Linked DNA regions of Struthio camelus. The protein of the gene in region 2 purifies or fractionates together with the protein of the main gene of each other region. This does not show direct contact. Links are inferred from orthologs where the notes say so. Each region holds a gene or a part of one and is shown on either strand. Other genes may lie near its edges.

Region 1 (10,195 bases), on a different chromosome or scaffold from region 2:
CATCACCCTTGCCTGGGCAAACTGAAGTGTTACAAAACATAATAAAGAAACAACACTAGGATGTCAGTGCTCACCGCAACATTGCGTAGAGCTGTGGGGGTGCTGCATGTCGCTGGGCCACAAACAGCATTGGGCCTCTAAGCTTTGAGTTTCTACTACTGCTTTCCCCAGGGGCTCCCCCCGAGCAGGAGCTGGGCAGAGAGAAGAGCAGAGAGCATGATGAGTGTCTTCCTATCCAAATTCTATGGGGGAGCTGGTGGGTAGCCCTGTAGGGCTGTTGCAGGACCCTTGAGCCTAACACAGCTTGTTTATGTCCCACGTGTGCTGTAAAATCCAACGGATGTTTTTCCCTGGAGTTCAGGCAGCACAGGACTGATGGGCCCTTTGGTCAGGGTTCCCGTGCTGTGTGGCGCAGTGAGCTCCTGGCAGTGCTGGGTGAGTTCTGGTGTAGCTTGAAGCCTTTCACCCTCCTTGAAGGCCTCAATCAGTGGAGCTATAGTTGGAGGCAGTTTTTTCCCCAAGAGTCTGTTTAAGCATTCAGTCAAACATCCTTGTCTTGCTTTTAGCATAAACTTCAGCTTTACCTTCCAGTTAGCAGTTTTCTGGGAAGGCTTTATTCGTGAGATTGAAGAGCCATCTGCTGTTGGAAATCTTGTCCCTTTTTATGTGTTTTCACATGTTGTCCATCCCTCTTAAACTTCTCTTGAGTTAACCAGACTGAGTGCCTTTGCTCTGAGGCAGTTTTTTAGCTTCTTCCTGAGCCCCTCTGAAGTTGAATAGGATCTCGCAATGTGGGTTCTGCAACTGTCTGCGTCTTCCTGTTTGTCAGGCTCGTGCTTTGCGAGCTTACGCTCTGGGGATCCCGCACCCTTTCCCCGTGGGAAGCCAACGTGCGATTGGGCAGCCTCTGTATCAATTTCAGAACGATTTTTCCTGCGTTGTTGTTTTCTCCTACAGGGTTTGATCTGCAGTGTTCTAGACTGTTTGTTTTTGACCAAAGTCTCTGTCCTCACGATTACCAGCTATTTTAATCTGCAAATATTACTTGTGTAGCATTTTGTTTTCTTTCACTTTTTCCCAGGTCAGTGCTAAAGATGTTCAAATGGTGTCGTGTGGAGGACAATCCCCAGGGGAAATTCGGAAGCTTTGCCCTATATGGTGCTCTCAGTTATTTTTTCCAATGTAACCATTAGTGAGTGTTAATAGGTTGCATCTGTTCTGCAGCTTTAGCTGATATTTACTGTTTGCCAAAACCCATTGCCTCTTTTGACTCTGCTTGCAGGTTTTAGCCTGGGACAAGAAAAGGTTGATCAGGCTGTAATTTCTTGAGTTAATGCCGTGAAATGAACACAGCGTTGCCTTTTAAGCCTGTCTTTTTGACAGAAAATGCTTCTTCATTCGTTCTAGGGTGTAATTTATGCAGCACTATAGACTTTCAGTAGTTGTTTTCTAGCGTTTCTGCTAGTCACTATTGTAATGGGATATTTGTTGACACGTTTTTCTTCGTCCAGAACCCGATGAGAGTCTCCCTCTTACACTTAGCTTTTTAAATTACTATTTTCTATTTATTTTTTGGTAATTATTAGATCCAGATCATTGTTTAAGTTCCATTTTCCTTGCTACGCATCAGGAATAATTCCATCCTGTTGTCCTTAAACCTGCTGGATACAAACTTTTAGCTGTATTTCTTAGACACTGGCTGGTTCTCATCGCTGTCAGAATCTAGGTTTTGCTAATACTGAGTACTATTAATAAGAGCTCTCATCTTTCCTGGGGGTGGGGGGGTGGTCTTTTGAGCAAATCCTCCTTTTGTGTCTGCGTAGCTGTGGCTTACCTTCCGTTGTTTGTTTGTTTGTGGGCAAAGGAGATTCTCTGGTAAAGAGCACATGAAGTGTTTCCATTTGAAAATGCTTCCTCCTGTTCAAATGAGGGAGTATGGCTGCAGAAGACAGGGTGGGCCTCCTACAAACTGTGCAAAGAGAAAGATAGGGAGGCAGAAAGCCGTATCTGACTCCCATCTTGTCCCTTTGTGTCCGTCCTTTTTTCCTGCTCTTGGCCTTTTAGTGAAAGAGACTCATGTGACTCAGGTGTCTATGTTCAGCAAATTGTCCTGCTATTATTTCAAAAGCCCTGTTTATTAATACCATGTGGCATGTGAGCAACAGGAAGCCAGCAGAGCGCAGAGCCTGTAGGCATCATGACATCCTGCCCAGAAGCAGCCCTCCTTACTGCTCTTTTCCAGGATGTATCATCTCGGTGGTCTCTGAAGGTGGTCGTAAAGGAATCGGAGAGTGTGACAACAGAATCAGCATGGCAGGGTGTGCTGGGAAAGCAGAGGTCTCTGAAAACATGCTGGGCACCAAAAATCACCCTTTGATGGTAAAATAAGCCAAGCTTTGGTTTGCCGCAACATGCGGTATTAGCAGGCTCTTGATCTGAACATCCGAAGATGCAGCATGGCTGAAATGCTTTTCATTGACTTTGTTGTCTCTGCCCTGTCATCCGCTCATAGAAAAGCGTCTCAGTGAAAAAAGGAAGCAGTGGGTGACAAATAAGTACATTTGTGACATTTAAGAGAGGCTCCTAATGTGCCCGCAATCCCACCAAGATGAGCTGTCTGCATTGAATATAGACAGCATCAGAAAAATCCTGAGAGTGGATCCTCTCTGGGCCAGGCTGCGTGCTTGGTGGCTTTTGGCCATCCCTCCAGCTCTATATAATTGTGTGGGGCCATCCAGCCCCATCCTTCAGGGCAGGACAGGTGTGTAATTTTGAGAGCTGTTGATGAGATATGTGCCATATAGCAAGGGTGAAATCTGCTTGTCTGGACAGCCAAAGTGAGGTACCTATGCAGAGCTGACTGTCCCAGGGCCCACGTGTAGGATCTAGAGCTGGGAAGAGCTCTGTAAGGTCGTAGTCCTTAGCTCCTGCCTCTTGCACCCAGTTCCTGTATAAACGCTCCGTTGGTCTCTGTCACAGCTCTGACTCCTAGTCACGGTACTGATCATAAAATTGAAAACTAAATGTGTGGATGGCTGTACAAAGTCCAGGCAGCAGCACTGGCATGGCTTACTTTGAGTTTTTGAGGGTCAGTCAGTCCCTGAACCAGCACCCCAAAAGTACAGGGGAGCTCCCTTGCTCTGTTCTGTGCTCTTCAGACAGTCTCCTTCCCTCCTTAGTAATTGGATGTTGCCTGTGTTGCCGGAGGAGGCTCTTTCCAACAGCCGAGCGCTCTGATGTCCTCTGTTATGCCGTAGATGTCAAGCCTTTTCTTTAAAAAGCGGTGAGAGGAAGTAAGTTTTGGAGCTGATGTGCTTGTTCCCTCTTCTCTGAGCTAGTCAAAGCTGGAAGCCCACCTTGTAGGGGGACCTGGCTTCTGGGCCCACCTCAGGCAGGGGTCTCACCCTGATGGGGAAGAACCCCAAATACATGGCTGGAGGAGAGGCAGGGGTAACCCTATCTGAAGAGAGGGTTTGGGGCCCAAGGAAGTCCCAGGCTTTGGTTCCTGCTCCCCAGCCCATCCGTGTATTTTACAGCAGCTGAAGGGGATACAGAGGGCTGTAGAAGAAATGGGGACTCCCTGCCCTGCTCAGCGTCCATGTTGCAAAGAGCCACAGGTGTGCTGCACTCACTGCTCTGAGTGAGGCAGTGCTGGTGCTGACCGCTGGGACTGTGTTGAGCAAAAAGCCTGAGTGGGTGGTGCATCCCCTGCGTGTGGCTCAGGTGCTGCATAGGCAGTGTGGGGAGCATGTTGATGGGAGACACTTGCCCAAGCAGCCTGCTGTTTCTCTCAGCTCCTGGCTAGAGGTTGTGCTCGCTCGCTCTCTCCAGCACTGGCTAACAGGGTGGACCAAACTCCACATCGGGTGCAGGAGGTGAGGAGCTGAGCCCAGCCCTTTGTGTGACCCAAAGGGTAATCCCACTTTTGTAATGATCCCACTAGCAGGTGACTTTGCCTGGCTAGTAGGCACCATTTCAGATGCAGAGAGGAGAATTGCATGTTGAGGGGAGGTGTGACCAGGCTTGAACTGCTGGAGCTGGATTCATGTTGCTTTTGTGTCTTTTATGTCAGAAACCTAGAGGTATAAGGAGGAAGGAGGACCCGCATAAGTTTCTGAAATCTCTCACGCTGCAGATCACTGCTTCAGCAAGCAGCTGTGGTGAATAGCTTCAAAACACAGTGGGGTGGCTGGTGGTGCAGGCAAGGCTTTGAGGACACATCAGAGTGTTATCGGTGTGGTTGGAGGTAGAGCTGAGCCCTTGCTCTGGAGAAGCTTGCATGCAGCTTTTGGTAAAGCATGCTGTCCTGAGATTCCAGTTTTTGATGTTCAAGATAAAAACCCGTGTGTTGGGGCTGCTTTGCTTGGCCACGTAGGAGACAAAACTCCAGTTTCCTCTTGCGTTAGGCAATTGCTTTTTTAAACATTGCCCCTATGCAAACACATACGCTGCCGTGCAGGCCTGTGAAATGGAAGAACAGATTGCTGCGGACAGTGTTTTTTGTGTGCCTGTAAATTGGTGGGACGATCTCATTGCCATCACTTAGAAATCTGTGGCCACTGAAGCCTTACATTGAAGGATGGAAACATTCCTGTCCCTGTCCTTCCTCATTATGATTTTGTAATGAGCCTTCATCTGAGTGCTGGTCCTTGAAGCATAGCTTAAACTCTGGATCCTTTCTAGGAAGGCAGAGAAATTCTACTGAGAGATGAGTAGCGCAGTGTCTATTCTAGGCTTTAATCATGAGATATACAGACTGGTTAGGTCCTGCTGCAGTTCTCAGCATTGTCCTAAAAAGAAAAAAAAAAACCAACCTTCCCAGCTCCAATGCTTGTTCAGTTCAGAACAGGACTGTGTGTTTAGTGATACTGTTTGCAGAAGTAAACAGGGAAGCAGAAGCTGCCAGAAGAAGCCTGATTTTGCTCTGACACGATGTGTGTTTCCTGCGTTACAGCCCACTGCTTGTTCAGCTTGGTCAGTGCCATGCAGTGATTTGGTGTGGGTGCAGACAGCCCACTGAGCCGGCTGTGCTTGGGCTGTCAATCCTGGGGCAGCTCTGCTGAGGCTGCAGCACTGACGTTGCCTTCCTCTTTTTCGTTACGTTGGTTTATTATACCACAGCATCTGTGACCAGGGCTCTGCTGTGTCAGGGATTATACAAAACTGTACACACAATCCCTGCCCTAGGGAGCAGGCAAAGGAAAGGTGGGATGTGCAACAGACTGCCCTAAGTAATTTGTCCTGCGCAAAATGAACTAATTCCCCAGTGCCCACAGTGACACTTGGGATCAGATCTTTATCCTTCCAAGGAGAAGCGTCCTCAGCTCTGCCTCCTCCCTCTTAGGCAGGCGGCCAGAAGCAGGACAGGCTTTGTTGTTCCCCTCTGCTCTTGGTCCTGGGCACCACAGGGCGAGTGGGCTGCGGAGAGCGGGCTGCTGGAAAGGGTCGTTGGCTGGCGTGCGTGCTGGGCTGATTGCTTAGCCCCTGGCTGGCAGCGCAGCACTCTCATGCCCTGCCAGTGCTTTACTACTCAGTGCACCCGTTCCTGAGCCTAGCCTTTGGGCACAGTTTTGTAGGAGAGCAGCCTGCCACTGGGTTTGTCCTGGTGTGTGTGCGTGCTGCCTCAGTGTGGGAGGAGCAGGCAGGCAACCCTGAACTTGCAGCTGAGGGCGGAAGCTCTTTGAGGTTTGCTGCTGATGCTTGAGGCTTTCATAGAGGCACAGCATCTGAGCTGGGTGTTCACTGCTGGAGCGATGAAGGCGTATAAAGGCAGAGGTGGGTCTTCCCCCAGGACTCAGTCTGGGTCAGCCCTGGCAGCTTTTGGCTGCCACATGGAAGATCACGCACAGCACGTCCAGCCCATCCCTCTCCCAGCCATGCAGCAGAACCTGAACTACCTGTACCCTCAGATCTTCTGGGTGGATGGCTGTACCAATCCCAGCACTTCCTGTCCTCCAACACCCCCCGTTGCCCCCTTCCCACCACCAGTACCTGATCGGAGGACAAAGCCAAGGGGCAATAGGGAAGGGAAGAACGTCGGCTTCCTGGTGGTCTCCTTGCTGATCCTGCTGTCTCTCACTGGAGTTGGACTGAGCATGTTTCAGATTTTTCGCCTGGAGAAGGAACTGGCTGAACTCAGAGAGGTAAAGTCTGTTTGGCTTGTCATAGAGGCTCTGGGGGGAAAAAAAAGAAAGGACAAAAACCGAAAAATGCATCTGAGGTGCTCAGGGGGTGCAGAACTCTCCATGGGGCAGACATTTGAATGTCTGCTCTCCTAGTGTGAGTAGGGTTGTTTTACATGGTAGAGGACTGCTCTGTTGGTGGCTATGATATGCCTGGATGTCTCTGTGTTTCTAAGTGCCGCAGGGTCTCTGTCCCTGTACATAGTGTTTCTTACCACTCCGCAGTTCTCCTTGAGTGTCCAGAACTAGTCACTGTCAAAGAGAGTCCTTGGCTGTTCCAGGTAATGCCGTTATGCTCTTCCCATGCTAAGAGACTTTGTCATCTTTTCTTTTGACAGTCTGCCAGCACTGAACGCATCCCTCCAGCTCTGGAAAAGCTCATAGGTGAGTTGATGTAGGTAGAGGAGCTCCCTCTTTGTAGCTTCTCTGAAATCTCCCATTTCACTCTTCCCTCCCCATGTCGGCGGGGGGGGGCAAAGGCAGGATTGCAGCTCTGATGTTCTGAAAGTGCTGATTTCACTCCTTTGGTTGGAATGAGAAATGTATCTCCAGAATGCGGGTAGGGCTCCCATACCCTGCCTGTTGGGAGGAAAACTGCCCTGGTATCACCCGTGGGTATGGGGACAATCTGCCCCCAGGCTGGACCTCCCAGTCCCCAATGGGGCGATGGTACTAGAGGGGCTCTAGAGTAAGTGAGTTTCTAGCTGCCCTAATATACAGCAACAATATGGATAGAAGAAGGAGAACAGAGATCCCAGACAGGCATCATTCGTGTTACTTCTTTGTTTCCTTACTTGTCAAGATTTTGGGAGGATGCGGAGGGTTTCATTTTCTTTGGGGGTGGACCATTCACTTCCTCCCTTGAGAGGACAACTTATATTTTCCTAAATTCTTTTGGTACAAAGTCTCACTGCAGCCAAAGCTAATTGAGAAAAGCCTGATGATATATATATATATATTTTTTTTTTTTTCTTTTAGAAATGTCTTTTCAGTGAAATTGAAACTTTCCACAAGAACCTGCCAATTTTTCTGAAATTTCATTTAGGAAAAAAAAGTAGAGTTTCTATTAGAATGGAACAATATTAAAATTATACTTGAAACTTTCAGACTTTTTTTTTTACTTTTACATAGCACGATAATGTTATCAGTGATAATATCCCTTTGCAAAGAAGGTTAAAGCAGAAAGAATTGTTCAGTTTTTTTGATAGATCTGAAAATATATTTTTTTCTTGAGGATTTGTTTAGTAGGAGAGTTCATTTCTTTTCAACTCTGTTCTGATACAGAATGAAAGTGAAGTTGGAAACAGCATAACTCCCTGGAAAGGGCAGCTCCTGTTTCAATTAACTTTGTAATCTGTTGCTTAGCTCTCCTTCCTCTGTCATTTTAACCAGCTCCTCAGTGCTCTGATCACAGGCTATTTTAGCAGCACCTGAATGTGAGGCATAAATACTAACCCCAAAATTCTTGAAGGTAGTAAATAAATAAAGCCAGGGAAATAGTGTAACAGAGAAGGCAGAGAGGAAAATGGAATTTGCCTGGCATGAGAAAAGAAGAGGCTTCTTTTAAAATCTGGGAACCTAGTGCTTGGAAGTGGGTGCTGAATGGAGGGGAAGGACAGGGTGGCATGGGCTCCAAGCACCCACCTGTTTTCACTGTCACTGGCCTCTCTCTCCAAGGGGACACAAGCCCTCTGCAGGAGGCCAGGATTTCCTAGCTATGTTCTGCCTCTCACAGGGTAAGGTCTGCACGGCCAGCAGGATGGTTTGCAGGCAGTCTCAAGTATTTTTTCTGGTCTAGTTGTAAGGAGGGTTGGCACTAAGCAGCTACCTGTCTGCTGTCACAGGGACGTGTGCCCCTGGCAGTGCTGGACTGGAAGAGGGCAGTAAAGCAGGCTCATCTTTGGCAGGACATGAGCAGTCACCTTGGCATGGGCCAGAGATGCCAGTTAATGGGGCAGGACAGCCCTCTCCTGCACCTTGAGGGAGACACCTCTGCTTGAGCTTATTGACTGAGCCATTTTCAATGAAAGCTGTCCTTGCTCTTTTGTTCTTCCCCTTGCTTTTGATTAATCTGGATCCTTTGCTGCAGTGCTTCCTTGCTGTGAAGCCTTTGCTTGAGCACCAATCTGCCTTGCTGCACCAGGCCGTGTTGCCCATGCACCTTGTGCTGCCCTGAAGCTGCCCCATTTCAGCATCACAGAGGGCTCCCTTCTGGTCTCTGGGCTGGCTTCTCCATGGAGCATGTGGTTAAAGTCTTCTCCGTTTTCATGTAGGGGAGAAGAGCGCGTCAGCGAAAAAGGAAGAGAGGAAGGCAGCACACTTAACAGGTATGTGCTGAGGGGTCAGCGAGAAGGGAGAGCGGGACAGGGCAGATGTGGCTGGGGCAGAAGGGCAGCCTGGTTAGAGCTGCGAGGATCCTGCTTCATGTAGGCCTTCTCAGTTTCCTTTGGTAACATGCATGCCCTGAGAGTTCAATGTCACTCCCGCAGCTAAAATCTTCTCCTTCATTTAGGCTTTTCAGTGAGGGCTCTGGTTTTTGGTTTGGTTTTTGTTTTGCCTTGGGGGTTTGCGGGACCAAAAACTTTGAGAAGTGACTGGTGTTGAACAAGCAGCCGGCGAGAGCTCCTACATCTGTGAGGCCTGGGGCAGATGTCCCATGCTGAAAAGAGCATGTGGGGAAGAGGTGACTTGTCTTGACGCTGGCTGTGACTTGAGAAAACCAGAAAATGCCTGTCCTTCTCACACTGCCACTCTGGTTTTGGCTTCCAGGGAACCCGACGCAGCAGGACCTCCCTTTGGAGTGGGAACCGATCTCTGGGCATGCCTTCACCGCCGGCATTCAGTACCGCAATCGGGGCTTGGTGATCAATGAAACTGGCCTCTACTTCGTATACTCCAACGTGCTCTTCCGAGGAAGCACCTGCAACAGCCAGGTGTTAACCCACATTGTCTACAAGAAAAACCCAACCTCCCCGGGCAGCCAGGTGTTGATGGAGGACAAAAAGATCAATTACTGCGCAAATCAGAAGATGTGGGCCCGGAAAAGCTACCTGGGGGCTCTGTTCAAGCTCAGAGAAATGGACAGTCTGCACGTCAATGTTTCCAAAATCACTCTGGTTAATTTTGAGGAATCCAAGACATTTTTTGGCTTATTTAAGCTCTAAACAGTGCTGTCGGAGTCCGGCTGGCAGCCCCGCACACACTAGGACGCGCGAGGGTGGGCTGAGCAGCAGCCGCCAACCTCCTCGAGTGGGCAAGCTGGAGTCCTGCACCCAGGAAGCCCACCAAGAAACCATGTGTTGGCCTTTGGCGTGAGAGGGCGTGAGAGAACAAGTAAGGCTCTCCGGGGTTGGACACCTGGGCTCTGGGAAGCACCTGGTTTGTCCTGGGGCAACCTGAATAAACAGCATGTTTCCCCTCACCCCGAAAAACCCAGGATGTGCCAAAGACCTCCTTGACATTCACTACTTGCTGCAGAAGAGATTTTGCTATGTGAGAAGATGACGGTGCTGGTGTGGCACCTGGAGGGAGACTCTGGGCCAGCGGGTACGCGTGGGGGCCGGCCGGAGGCAGAGAAGGGCCTCTAGGGTGAGCGCGCGGGGGCCGCAGTGCCGAGGAGTCTCCTCCGGCTTGGCGCCTGGAGATGGCTGCCCCGCCTGTGCTGCCCGGGCCTGCCGCACTTTCGCTCTGCCGTCCTGCAGGCGCCCCCCCGCTACTAGCTGGCTCGTGAAGCGTGGTAGGTTCATTTTGTGTTAAGTTATCGACCATTCTCAACCCAGAAAACGTGTTCCCCCCCTTCCCCCTCTCCCCCACCCCTTATTTAACTCGCCCCCACGGCTTCGTGCTGAGGAACGTTCCGGAAGCAGCGCGTGCCTGGCTCCTCTCCACACGGCGGTGACGGCCCAGCGGGGCAGGGGCTGGCGGGGAGGCCGTGCGCCCCGGGCTCGGCCGCGCTGGCGCAGCCGCCCTCCGCTGACAGGGCCCGAGCGGCGGGGGGCAGCGGGACAACCCAC
Region 2 (10,478 bases):
TGTGTGAAGGTGCTGAGTGATCCCACTCTAGTTTCTGCTGCAGCAGTGCACACATAGGATGTCCAGGTGCCAGCTTCAGTTGCCCAGACCCTTCCAGAGCTTCCTGCCTCTTAGCAAACCTGTGCTCTGACTCTGAATTTCTCACCTTTTTCCCTTTTATAGCTGCTTATTGCTTCCAAGAGATCAGGTGAAACACTCATACAGAGTTCCTCCAGCACTTGTACATTATTTTCAGTTAAAAGACCCTGTTTTTCCAATAAAATCAGCAACTCCAGAGCAGACTGACAGAAAAAAGAGAGAGTAAAATGCACTTATTGTTTCTTAGAACTTAAAACCACGGGTCTCGACCCTCTCTGCCTCATATAATTACATTATCATCTGCTTTGCTTCTTGCCAACAAGTTCCGAACAGTCAATTTTACATAGCCAGGTGACAGGGGAAATGTTGCACCATGGAAAGCTACTGACTGAATTACAACTTGGTATGTTCTTGCTTCAACAGATTTACCCAAACTACATTAATGAATTCTGGCCCTGAGAAGGCTTTATCGCTGTGAAACAGTACCAACGACATATGGGCATAAATGTCCTCTGTTCATGGCTCAAGCAGGAAAAAAAAAAAAAAAAGATTGATATGTCACCTTGTTGTGGTCTAATGCAAGAGAGTAGACCATCCACGACTGTCCTTGGCACAAAGCTGAACCAAGTTCCACTCTAATCCTGCCATCAGCTTCCTCCTTGCTAACTCTATAAAACATCCATCAGCCTAGTTGCAATTACGCCTTATTCTGGCAAAGATTCTCTTCTCCGTGCTCTTCCGTGCCCCCATCTTCCCTCCATACTATATATACGTTTGTCTCTCTCCCTACATACAATAGTTGTCTGTCGCTTTGGTAGCTGGTTCCTCAGGAGGAATATGATTTCCTTTAACATCTCGCTGGTAACGTTCTCTGCCAATTCATACAGCATCTGCCTGTAACAGAGACCCAGTGAGATCAAAGTAGAACAGAAGAGGGTGTAGAAACACAACGCAATCTGAGAATTTAAAAACTGAAAGGGAAATAGCAGGCAACAGATGGCAGCAATGCAGCTAACAGAATCCCATTGGAAGCTCACCTGTATGAAGACACTCTTCCCTTCTCAGGCAGATATTCTTGCACTCTCTCCTTGGTATAGCCAAGTTTTTTGAGCAAGAAGTGACATTTAATTCTGTATAAGAGCTCAGCTAGTAGGAAAGTATCCTCCTCACTCAGATACTCTTCAGCCATAAGAAACTGAAAGATGTCCAGTGCTGACTGCACACTTTCCAATTTTTTGAAGGGGATCAGGTCAATGCAGAGAAATTTTAAAGCTGCTACATCTTCGGTACCCAGGTTTTCTTCAATGAGTAGAAGCTGCTGACGGAATTTCAAGCTGATATCATCCCCCATGTTGCTGGGGATGCTCTCTGCCTGAAAGCAGAAAGCAAACATTGTAACACTGTAGTCTTCAGTACAAGAATCCTTGAAATAAGGATTTCATCCAACACCTATTTGGAAGCCCTGAATACTCTGCAGAAGAGCAATTTCTTTTTGAATCCATTTGAAATGTACTTCCTTCTCCAAGCAAACAAATGCATCAGAGAGTAGATTTGGCAGAAGCTCTGAACAACCCAGTCTACCCTTGAAGTTAGCCCTGCTTTGAGCAGAAAGCGGAGTTAGATGACCTCAAGAGGTTCCTTCTTCCAACCTAAATTCCTCTATATCCTTCCATCAACTTTCATGTTCAGAGGAAGGAGTTCCCAACTACCTTCTGCCTCACAACTGCAGCTTTGTTCCTCTACATTGTCTGTGGCTGCAAAGAGTCCCTGCAGTAACTCTATTATAGCTCTTAGTGGAGAGGGGGCAGTGGTAAAATCACACATGTTCCTTGATCTGCAGTCTGAGGACTCTGCTGATTTTTGGCTGCAGCAGGCAGGCGCTCCTCTGTTTCAAGTCTGATATCCAAGCTGAAACTGTAAATAACCATCCACTCACAGTCATACCCTGCCACCAGATTGCGTCTTGCATTTCGCACAAGAAAAGCCTAAGACCTCCCTTATGAGAGTGTCTAATAAAACGTGATAAGAAATCAATCTAAAAGGACTCTGTACAAGCAACTCAACGTTATTGAAGCGTAACAGAAACTAATCACGCTTCTGCTAAACCAACTTCCTCCAGGTAGCTTAGGCAGGTCTTTTCTGCTGGAGTGAGGTTACATAGGGAAACTTGTTTTGATTGGTAAGAAAGTGCTTCTGAAGTTCTCTGCCCAAAGAGTCAGGGAGGTCCTTAACCCTCCATTAAGTGCAGCTGGAAGTAGCAAAGCTCTCTGCATGAAGGAGCAGCAGAAAAAAAAACCCAGAGAAGTAGGGGTATGGACAGAAACTCTGAATCCAAAGCCTTTGAAGCATGTGGGAAGACTGGTCAGCAGATAAACCACAAAGGTTATCATAGCATGTGGGGAGCACAAGGAAGACACTGTGGCAGTTTTGTGTTCAAGGGCACATAAGAAATATTATCCCAACTCCTGAAACCCAGTGAAGGATACAAGCACCATTTCATATTTCAACAACAGGTTTGACAGAACCCAGGAATCCTGAATTCTGTATTGGCCCTGTGTCACAAGTCAGAGACTGTGCAAGAAAAAAAGGTCGTATTGTTTTTGCCTGTATTCAAGCTTACTCTCCCATAGCTTACTAATTCCGTAACTCACATTGTTTCTCTCCTCAAATGAAATCCTGCGTATTGTGACACCTTATTCACTGAAGAAACACGCTGCTATCAAAAAGGCTCAGATCTCAGTCATCTATCTACGCAGAGAAATCGTATCACTTCACATTAAATCAGGCTTTAAATCAATTTAGCTAAACTAGTTTCAAACCCTATCTAGATGCTTTAGTCAACTAAATTTAGCAGAATAATTTAGCTTAAGTTGATTCCTGTCTAACAAGCCTATATACACCAGATTCAAACTGCATTTGTGTCTATTCAGAGTTTGGAGACAATGACTTCAACTAAACTAGTTTAAAAATCATAGCTTTAGAGGAACAGGGAAAAGCTGTGCGTAGGTCAAGCGTAAGTACTCATTTCACCAGAAATCAAACCGAAAGAAGATCCAGCACCAATTCCTTCATCTATCTTTAAAATAGTTTTAAAATGTGCATTCCAGTCACCTTTGGAAAGCTTTTCCATCAAAACCCTTCCTGCTTGAGTTCCAAATAACCTCAAGGCCACCCAATCTGCGCTGTGTTTACTAGCCATGACCTCTCTTCCTTCCCCCCCTGTACTGAGAGCAGACCGGACTGTTGCTGATTCCTAGCTCTACTGTGAGAGGAGGTTCCGCGGACTTACAGCCTGATCCAGTGTTCACCTTACTGTTACTGGGTTTCTGGAACAGTCTATGACTTCATGCGTTTCACAGGCAGGTTTTAAAACATTGCGGTGAAAGGCTCCTAAAAGCAGAGGAGGAAAAACAGCAAACACTCCCTTTTCCAGTAAAACTAGTTTGTAAAAAAAGACAAATGCTAACCACCCAGTGCTAATGCAGGGGCAGGACCTCCCTGCTCCCCAAGTTTGTCAGGGCTCACTCATTTATTTACAGACACAGCTACCAGGAGATCAGCAGGCAGACTGTCAACACACAAAAAAATGATGGATCAGTGTCTCCAATTTGTGTTTTGCAAAATATCCAATTCCTCCAGGAAGGAAAGTCACATAAAATGAGAACTGAGGATTATCAAATTATTATTTTTTTTCCCTTTAACTTGTTATTGATTGGGGTGCTGCCCAGCTTCAAGGTTTAAAACTAAAGCAAAACCACGGGGCCCTGAGGAGTGCTGGGGCCCGGCCCTCAGCCCCAAAGCAAGCCCCTCAGCCCCCGGCCGGTGAGTTTCCCAGCAGCAGCTGCACGATACCGGAAGGAAGGAAGGAAGGAAGGAAGGAAGGGGCTTCAGCTCCCGACTCGAGCGCTGAATCCCTCCTCTGTTCCCTCTCCATTTCGCTCCCTCTTACCTCTCAAATAAATCCGCTCCCGCTCCCGTCCCCTCTCTCGGCGGCTCCCCCGTGCCTGCCACTCAGCGCCGCCCGAGGCCGAGGCCGCACCCAAGAGCACCGGTGCTGAGTCACGGCCCGGGCCTGGCTGCCCGGCGCCGTGCGGGGGGAAGCGACATCCCCAGCGGCGGGGGCGGAGAAGGGGGCACGGCCGAACCGGGGAGGGGGCCTGGGGGCCGCCTCCGGCGCTGGAGCGGCGGTACCGGGGCGTGGGCGGGGCCCCGCTGGCTGAGCCCGGCCGCGCAGGGCAGCCGGCCCCGGCGCTTGGCAGCCTTCTCCCCCCGCGCCAGGGGGCTCCGCTGCACAGTCGGGAAAAGCAACCGGCAAAGCAAAAGCAGCGCAGGAAGAAACTGTTTTCTCTCTCGGTTTTAAGCCATGTCTAAAGCTAGCTACACGGCAAAAAGAGACCCAAACATTTTGGGGAGGTTTCTTCACCTGACAAGAAGCCTTGAAGCTACTGCCTGCAAGTACAGTTTTTATGCAAGATCTCCCGCTCAGCACCCCCGCTGCAGTAAGGGGGGGGGGGGGGGAAGACAGCGCAGGGTCCTCGCTGCTTTCAGCAACACCAGCATCATCTCCCCCGACCCTCCAGCTCAGGGCAGCGGGATGTGATGAGTCTCCTTGCTCCCGCCAAACAGCAGCTGTCCAACACATGCAACAGCAGACTTCTCTGCTGAAACTAAAAGGCTTCGCTGTCCTTTATTCAGTCAGGTGTTGGGTTTTTGGTTTTTGTTTAAAACAAAGCTGTAGAAACTCAATAGCCAAATTTAACAAGCACCTGATGTCTACAGGATAAATGGGCCAACAAGGTAAAGGGTTACTCTGAGATTGGCAGGGAGATGTAGACAATCAGCCTGACTGCAGGCGCTTTCCTTGGCAAAATAAGGTGAAACCCCAACATTTATGATTTAGGAGCAACAGGACTAAGCAGTTTTGCTTAACTATGATTCTATTTCAGTAATGGCACTGATTCAAATCATGTTTCCTATGATGCTATGTTTCTACAAATTAAACATACAAAATATGATGTCAGAGTAATACATATTTCAAACTAGAGTATGTACAGAAAGAGACAATTCACAAAAACAAAATTCCTGGAAGACTGGCACTCTCTTATTGACCCTCTAACAAAGGAGATGAAGAAAGATTTTTTTGATATAGCCACAGAGAGAAGCTATCCAATAATTCCATAGAGGAAATAAAAGTTTAAAAGGAATATAACCACAAGTACAGCAAGCAGACAAGACTACAGAACATCATCCACAGACAGCAACTTTTTCAGAGCAATAGCATCTGGCACGTCAGAAATTTAAAGCTGTACATATCAGAAAAGAATTCTTATAAACTGTCATGTAAAGCTGGTACTGATTCAGGTATCTGTAACAGTCACTGTTACTTCTTAAAGAGCTGAAAGGGTGTATGCATCAGACACACAGTATGCTGCACCTGCAAGCGTGAGCACCATAACATCCTCTTGAATTTAACTTCTTTCCTGAATCACAAGTTGGCAAACACCACAATCTCCTGCCTCACAGGTGCTTTTTCTGAGCCAGTGGTAAAGCACCATCTATATTCTGCCATTTCTCCTTTCCTTCTTCCATATATATGACGCAAACAGAAATGCAAGAAATGTCTATTACAGTTACTGGCAACTGAAGTTCTGTGCCACAGAGTCGGACGTTCCATGCGCTCACAAGCCAGGGGCAGAAAAGAGTGGCTTTCCTTCTCTTGTTCAACAGCGGGTTCAGAAAGCTATACGTTTTGGCAGACCACGACCATGAAAATCCACCACTATCTTTTTTGCTTGTTATGTTCCAGTGCTAACATCTTAGGCTTAATTCTGGATCCATCATGGAGGGTTTTTTTCCCCCCCCTTTTCTTTTGGCTACTGAATGGGAGTTTGATATTCAACCACTGCACCAGTAACAAACTGATCTGTAATGCATGTACAGCTTGATGCCATCCAGACCTTACATGCAGTCAGCTTCCAGGCTCAAATTTCAGGCCCACAGTAAAGCAAAACCAGACGATCCCAATCAAACATACCCAGGAGCACAGAAAGTTATGGGGGAAGTGACAGACAACTTCTGGCATCACAAAATTCCTGCATGTTAGCAAATACCAACTTCATCAACATTGGTTTTCACAACGCACTTCGTCCAGGGAATGAGTCTATCCCATAAGCCACTCTTGAAGGCGGCATCCAGGCAATTAATACTGCTTGGTACTTACATGATTACAGACTAAGTACTGCTCTGGGCCAAGAATCTCCTGAGCACCAAGACATCAGTGTAGAAACTCAGTGTCTGGCGTCCATGAACGCTGCAAGATGCGTGGAATGTCCCCACAAATCTTAGGACATCAGAGGACTGCAGTCACTGCTGCATCTAAGCAGCCAGACACAGAGACTCCTTTCCTTTTTACTGCTAGGATTATGTAGAATAATCTCCTCAATTTTTTTTTTTCAAAGTGTTTCCTCTTCATTTCTTAAGGAATAGGACACAGACTTTACTGACAGTGCCATAAACTAAAGTGAAGAATATGTATGCTTCTTGAACCCTCCTCTCCAACTTATGCTGTCATAAAACTATCAGAAACAGAATACATCCTATCACTGATAGTTTAGTAAATAGTTATATTTTGCATCACTCAAAAAAAAGTTGGATCCTGTAAGGATATCCACTATTATTCTTACTTCCTTCCTCCCTTTTCTCCTGTCTTCTTCTTTCTCCTTCCAATTTTGATGTTGTATTTCTCCTCCAAATCTTCTTTTCCCTACTTTTTCTTCTCTTGGTTCTCCCTATCGTTCCCCTTCTCGTTCCTGCTTGAACTTTGAGTATTTCTTTCCCTCATCTCTCTGCCTCCTCTTGGTTCCATTCTCCCTGCTTTTGGTGTCTATGAAGCAGTGAAGTGCTCATCATACGTAACGGCTAATAAGGGAAACGGGAGAAAAAAGTTAATTTAATTTGTGAAGTGAAATCATATTTATTATCACATACGTCTGTACAATAACTAGGAAACACACCTTATTTCTATAGCCACAGAACAGCGTGTATTTGTTTTATACCATCTGCTTCATTTACCAGCTACTACAGGAACTAACTTCTCAGATTCCAAATCCATCGTTTTATAATACTCCTCTCACCCCACGGAATATGAGCAAGGTAAAGTTTCAAAATTACACTTGCTGCATTTTATTCCAAGCTGGGCAGTTTATGAAAAAAACAGAGGTCAGAAATGAATGCCGTTTTTATTATCCATGACATATGATACAGACCTTTCTGGTGTTGCAAAGCAACAAGTTCTCTAGTTGAGTCTGTGGAGTACTTACAAACTCAAATTTAAGATACAAAATATTTTTAAAGCCGGAAGCAATATGGTACTAGTTTATAAAAAGAACCAATTTAAAAGGCCCTTTCTTACAAAGTAGGCAACTGGAGGAAGAACTGAGCTCCCCCACACCACCACTATGATATCTTTGTTTCTAGACCTGTAACATCATGAAATGGGATTTAGTATTTTTAATTTAACACTTGTAGAGGAACAAGCTTTTAGAGAATGTCTAGATTTTGCAAAAGTTGATTTTATACCATTTTCTCCTCTTATTACCTTTGCCTACATAAAATTACACCAACATAAATAACACAGGTACTGATGATTTAATGTACCCATGATCTACATAAAATTTTGGGTTACATTTCCCAATTCTATATGCTTTTCCCAATTCTATATACTTTTATTAAAAAGATATACCAGCTTATGAAGTGGATAGAGAGAGAAAAAAAACATTATACACAGGCTTATAATATAGGGGAAGTATTTTTCTAACTTGTGCAAAAATTTCTTATCACAAATACATATTTCACTATGTATTCCATATCTAACATGCAAATAAAACTGAACACAAAATAAAAAAAGACATAACAAGAGTGAAGATTTTTTTGAATATTTTTAAAGTGTAATGATATAAAAGGCTCGGTATATGTATTATACAAAATTATATATTAATATAAATAAATATGTTTTTGATCTTACAATTGTTTATGGATGCTTAAGAAAAGAATATAAGGTAATACTCGTTAAGCGGGTTTCTTCTCTTGATAGACTCTAACAGTCCTCAATCAATCAGCAGTTTAGGAACCTCTTAGGTCAGGAAGAGAGTGGACTTGCACCATATAACAAGGAAGGACTCCTGAGTGCTTATCAGATATAGATATCTACTCTTTGCCAAATAATTGTGAATATCAGTTTCAATTATGAAAGTTACTTGTTTTTTCTGATGAAACTTAAGAACTGTAGTTTCCAAAAAAAAGGTTATTAAAAATAATGTCAAGCTAACACCTAGGAAATACAACAGGGTATTGAGGAAAAAAAGTCATTGCTACCAAAATAAATGTATTGGCCATGCCATCATGATTAGTAGCAATATACTACTACTAGCTGCCTGCGAGACCCAGCTGACAATGAAAAGCATTGTTGGCAAAATCATATAGATTACCACATGTGATTTTTATTCAAATCAAATACAGCTATACTAGTAAAAAGTCTTCTGCAGTTTTTTTTTTTTTGTTCAAGGAACTAGCATACACTGTATTAGCAAAAAAAACACCACCACCAAACAAAACTTTTCTTTTTGCTTGCATGACATACATATGCACCACAAGGATGCATGGCATAACTACACCAGAAACCAAGCAAGGTAAGCCAAGGTCTTGAAGTCCCTTCCCAGATAGAAGACTTAATTATTAAGAATACTGAAAGTTTGCAAGTGGCTTATTTTAGGAAGGAGAATGCCGTAAATTCAGCAATAGTAAATCTCAATACAACTCATCCAGGTTGTAGTGTTATATAGCAATCAGGTCTGAATGTTGATGGTAGGCATCTGCCTTATTGAAAAAAATACTGCTACATTTTAGGCAATTTTCTCTCATGTCTTCTCCAGAAGAACAAAGGCAACTGAAAACAAGTTAATTGAAGACACACCCTTTTCCATAAGCAAAAGGAGGGAGGGAAGGGGAATGTAATCCTGCCTTAAGAGCCAGTGGTTGCTAAAAGACATTCAGGTTCAAATGTGATAAACAGCGTATTTTTATAGCTCTGTTTGATGTGGCAAGTATGAATCACGTTTCAGCTTTCACAGAACATCTGCCAAACACCACATTTTTAAACTGTGCAACTTTATTACTGTAAGGCCCTGCCGTATGAAGACTCTCTTGTACCAGCAGAAAGCAAAATTAGTCCAAGACATGGCAGACTGCCCGATTTAGAACCACGCAAACCCTTAGGTCCTGTGGAGAGCACTGAGGACACAGGGGGTTCTGGATGAATCACAACCTCTAATGCAGCAGGCAGATGGAATTCAAATTATTTTAAAGACCATTTTTCTCTTCATTTTGTTTTGCTACAGTCTATGCAGGCATGCAAGCCAGACCATTGCTACAGGAGAACTAGAGCTGCTGGGAAGGCATTCTCTCCTGACAAGTTCTCCATTATTAGGTGCCGGGAAAGGTATTGAGTGAATATCAGTGGTTTGCACAGATTTGTCTTCACTTTAAACATCAGAAGAAGAGCCGAGATCAGTGCACTGCTAACAGGTATGCTAAAAAACAAGCAACAAAAACACAGAACTCTGAAAAACCCAACAGCTATAGTTTAGAGCTCTTTCCACACTGTTTACCTGTTGCATTTGGTTGCAAGATCTGTTGCAGTTTTATACAATAGCTGCCATTCTTATCCAAGTTTTCTGAGACTTTTGTATTAAAATACCAAATCTAGTGCCTTAACACTTCTAAATCCCCAGGTTGAGAAGCAACAGGCACTTGAGGTACGCAGGTAATAACAGTGCTTAAAGTGAAACTGCATGAAGGTGTGTCTGGACCTTAGCAAGTATTTCTTTTAGCTATTTCAGACATGTACTTTCCAACAGCGGTTAAGTAGGAGAAAAAAAAAGTTTTTTCCTCAATGTGTGCTGGAGCAGAAGTGAGTATTGCCGGCTTGGGTCAATGGTCTTGTTCCACTCATAGACTTCTCTGTTCAGTTCTGTATGGATGTCTAACACAGAGAGTTTCCTGCAGCAAGAGAAATACAAACTTTTCTTTAAAGAACGAAGCAGAACACATTTAAGAACCCAAAGGATGAAAGACAACTTCAAACTCAGCAAGAAGAAAGTTTCAAGTTTCAGTCTTTAGTAGAGGTTGCCATCTTTAAAACCCAAGGCTGAAAATGCATTTTGGAGAGTATATGTTATATCCCAAATCACTATCATGCTATTTGTTATGCTCTCTTTTCCTGGTGACCTGTGATTTGGTCATGAGGTTTTAGGATTTGTGCTAACTGCTGACCTACAGTTACCTTGGAAAACAGCTGCCAGCTGCCTGGTAGACCAAGCGTACAATGAAAAGCTTTGCCATTA

The links. Proteins that work in one complex are often made in the same cells at the same time.
Region 1: the proteins of CASP10 (region 2) and FASLG purify together in Homo sapiens (co-immunoprecipitation; 3 studies listed by BioGRID and IntAct, with this or other methods). This does not show direct contact. The link is inferred for Struthio camelus from reciprocal best matches to the Homo sapiens genes CASP10 and FASLG.

The regions. Positions count from the first base shown.
Region 1 is NC_090949.1:8,981,897-8,992,091, forward strand, and holds FASLG (tumor necrosis factor ligand superfamily member 6), read left to right. Parts: upstream 1-5,698; 5' UTR 5,699-5,753; coding exon 5,754-6,143; intron 6,144-6,520; coding exon 6,521-6,566; intron 6,567-8,455; coding exon 8,456-8,509; intron 8,510-8,951; coding exon 8,952-9,346; 3' UTR 9,347-9,466; downstream 9,467-10,195. UniProt on the Homo sapiens protein: Cytokine that binds to TNFRSF6/FAS, a receptor that transduces the apoptotic signal into cells. Involved in cytotoxic T-cell-mediated apoptosis, natural killer cell-mediated apoptosis and in T-cell development.
Region 2 is NC_090947.1:10,377,634-10,388,111, forward strand, and holds the start of CASP10 (caspase-10), read right to left. Parts: upstream 4,279-10,478; 5' UTR 4,028-4,278; intron 3,471-4,027; exon of another isoform or gene 3,368-3,470; intron 1,451-3,367; 5' UTR 1,430-1,450; coding exon 1,116-1,429; intron 973-1,115; coding exon 873-972; exon of another isoform or gene 758-872; coding exon of another isoform or gene 641-757; intron 282-640; coding exon 146-281; intron 1-145. Other genes in the region: CFLAR (CASP8 and FADD-like apoptosis regulator), read right to left, coding at 9,996-10,134. UniProt on the Homo sapiens protein: Involved in the activation cascade of caspases responsible for apoptosis execution. Recruited to both Fas- and TNFR-1 receptors in a FADD dependent manner. May participate in the granzyme B apoptotic pathways.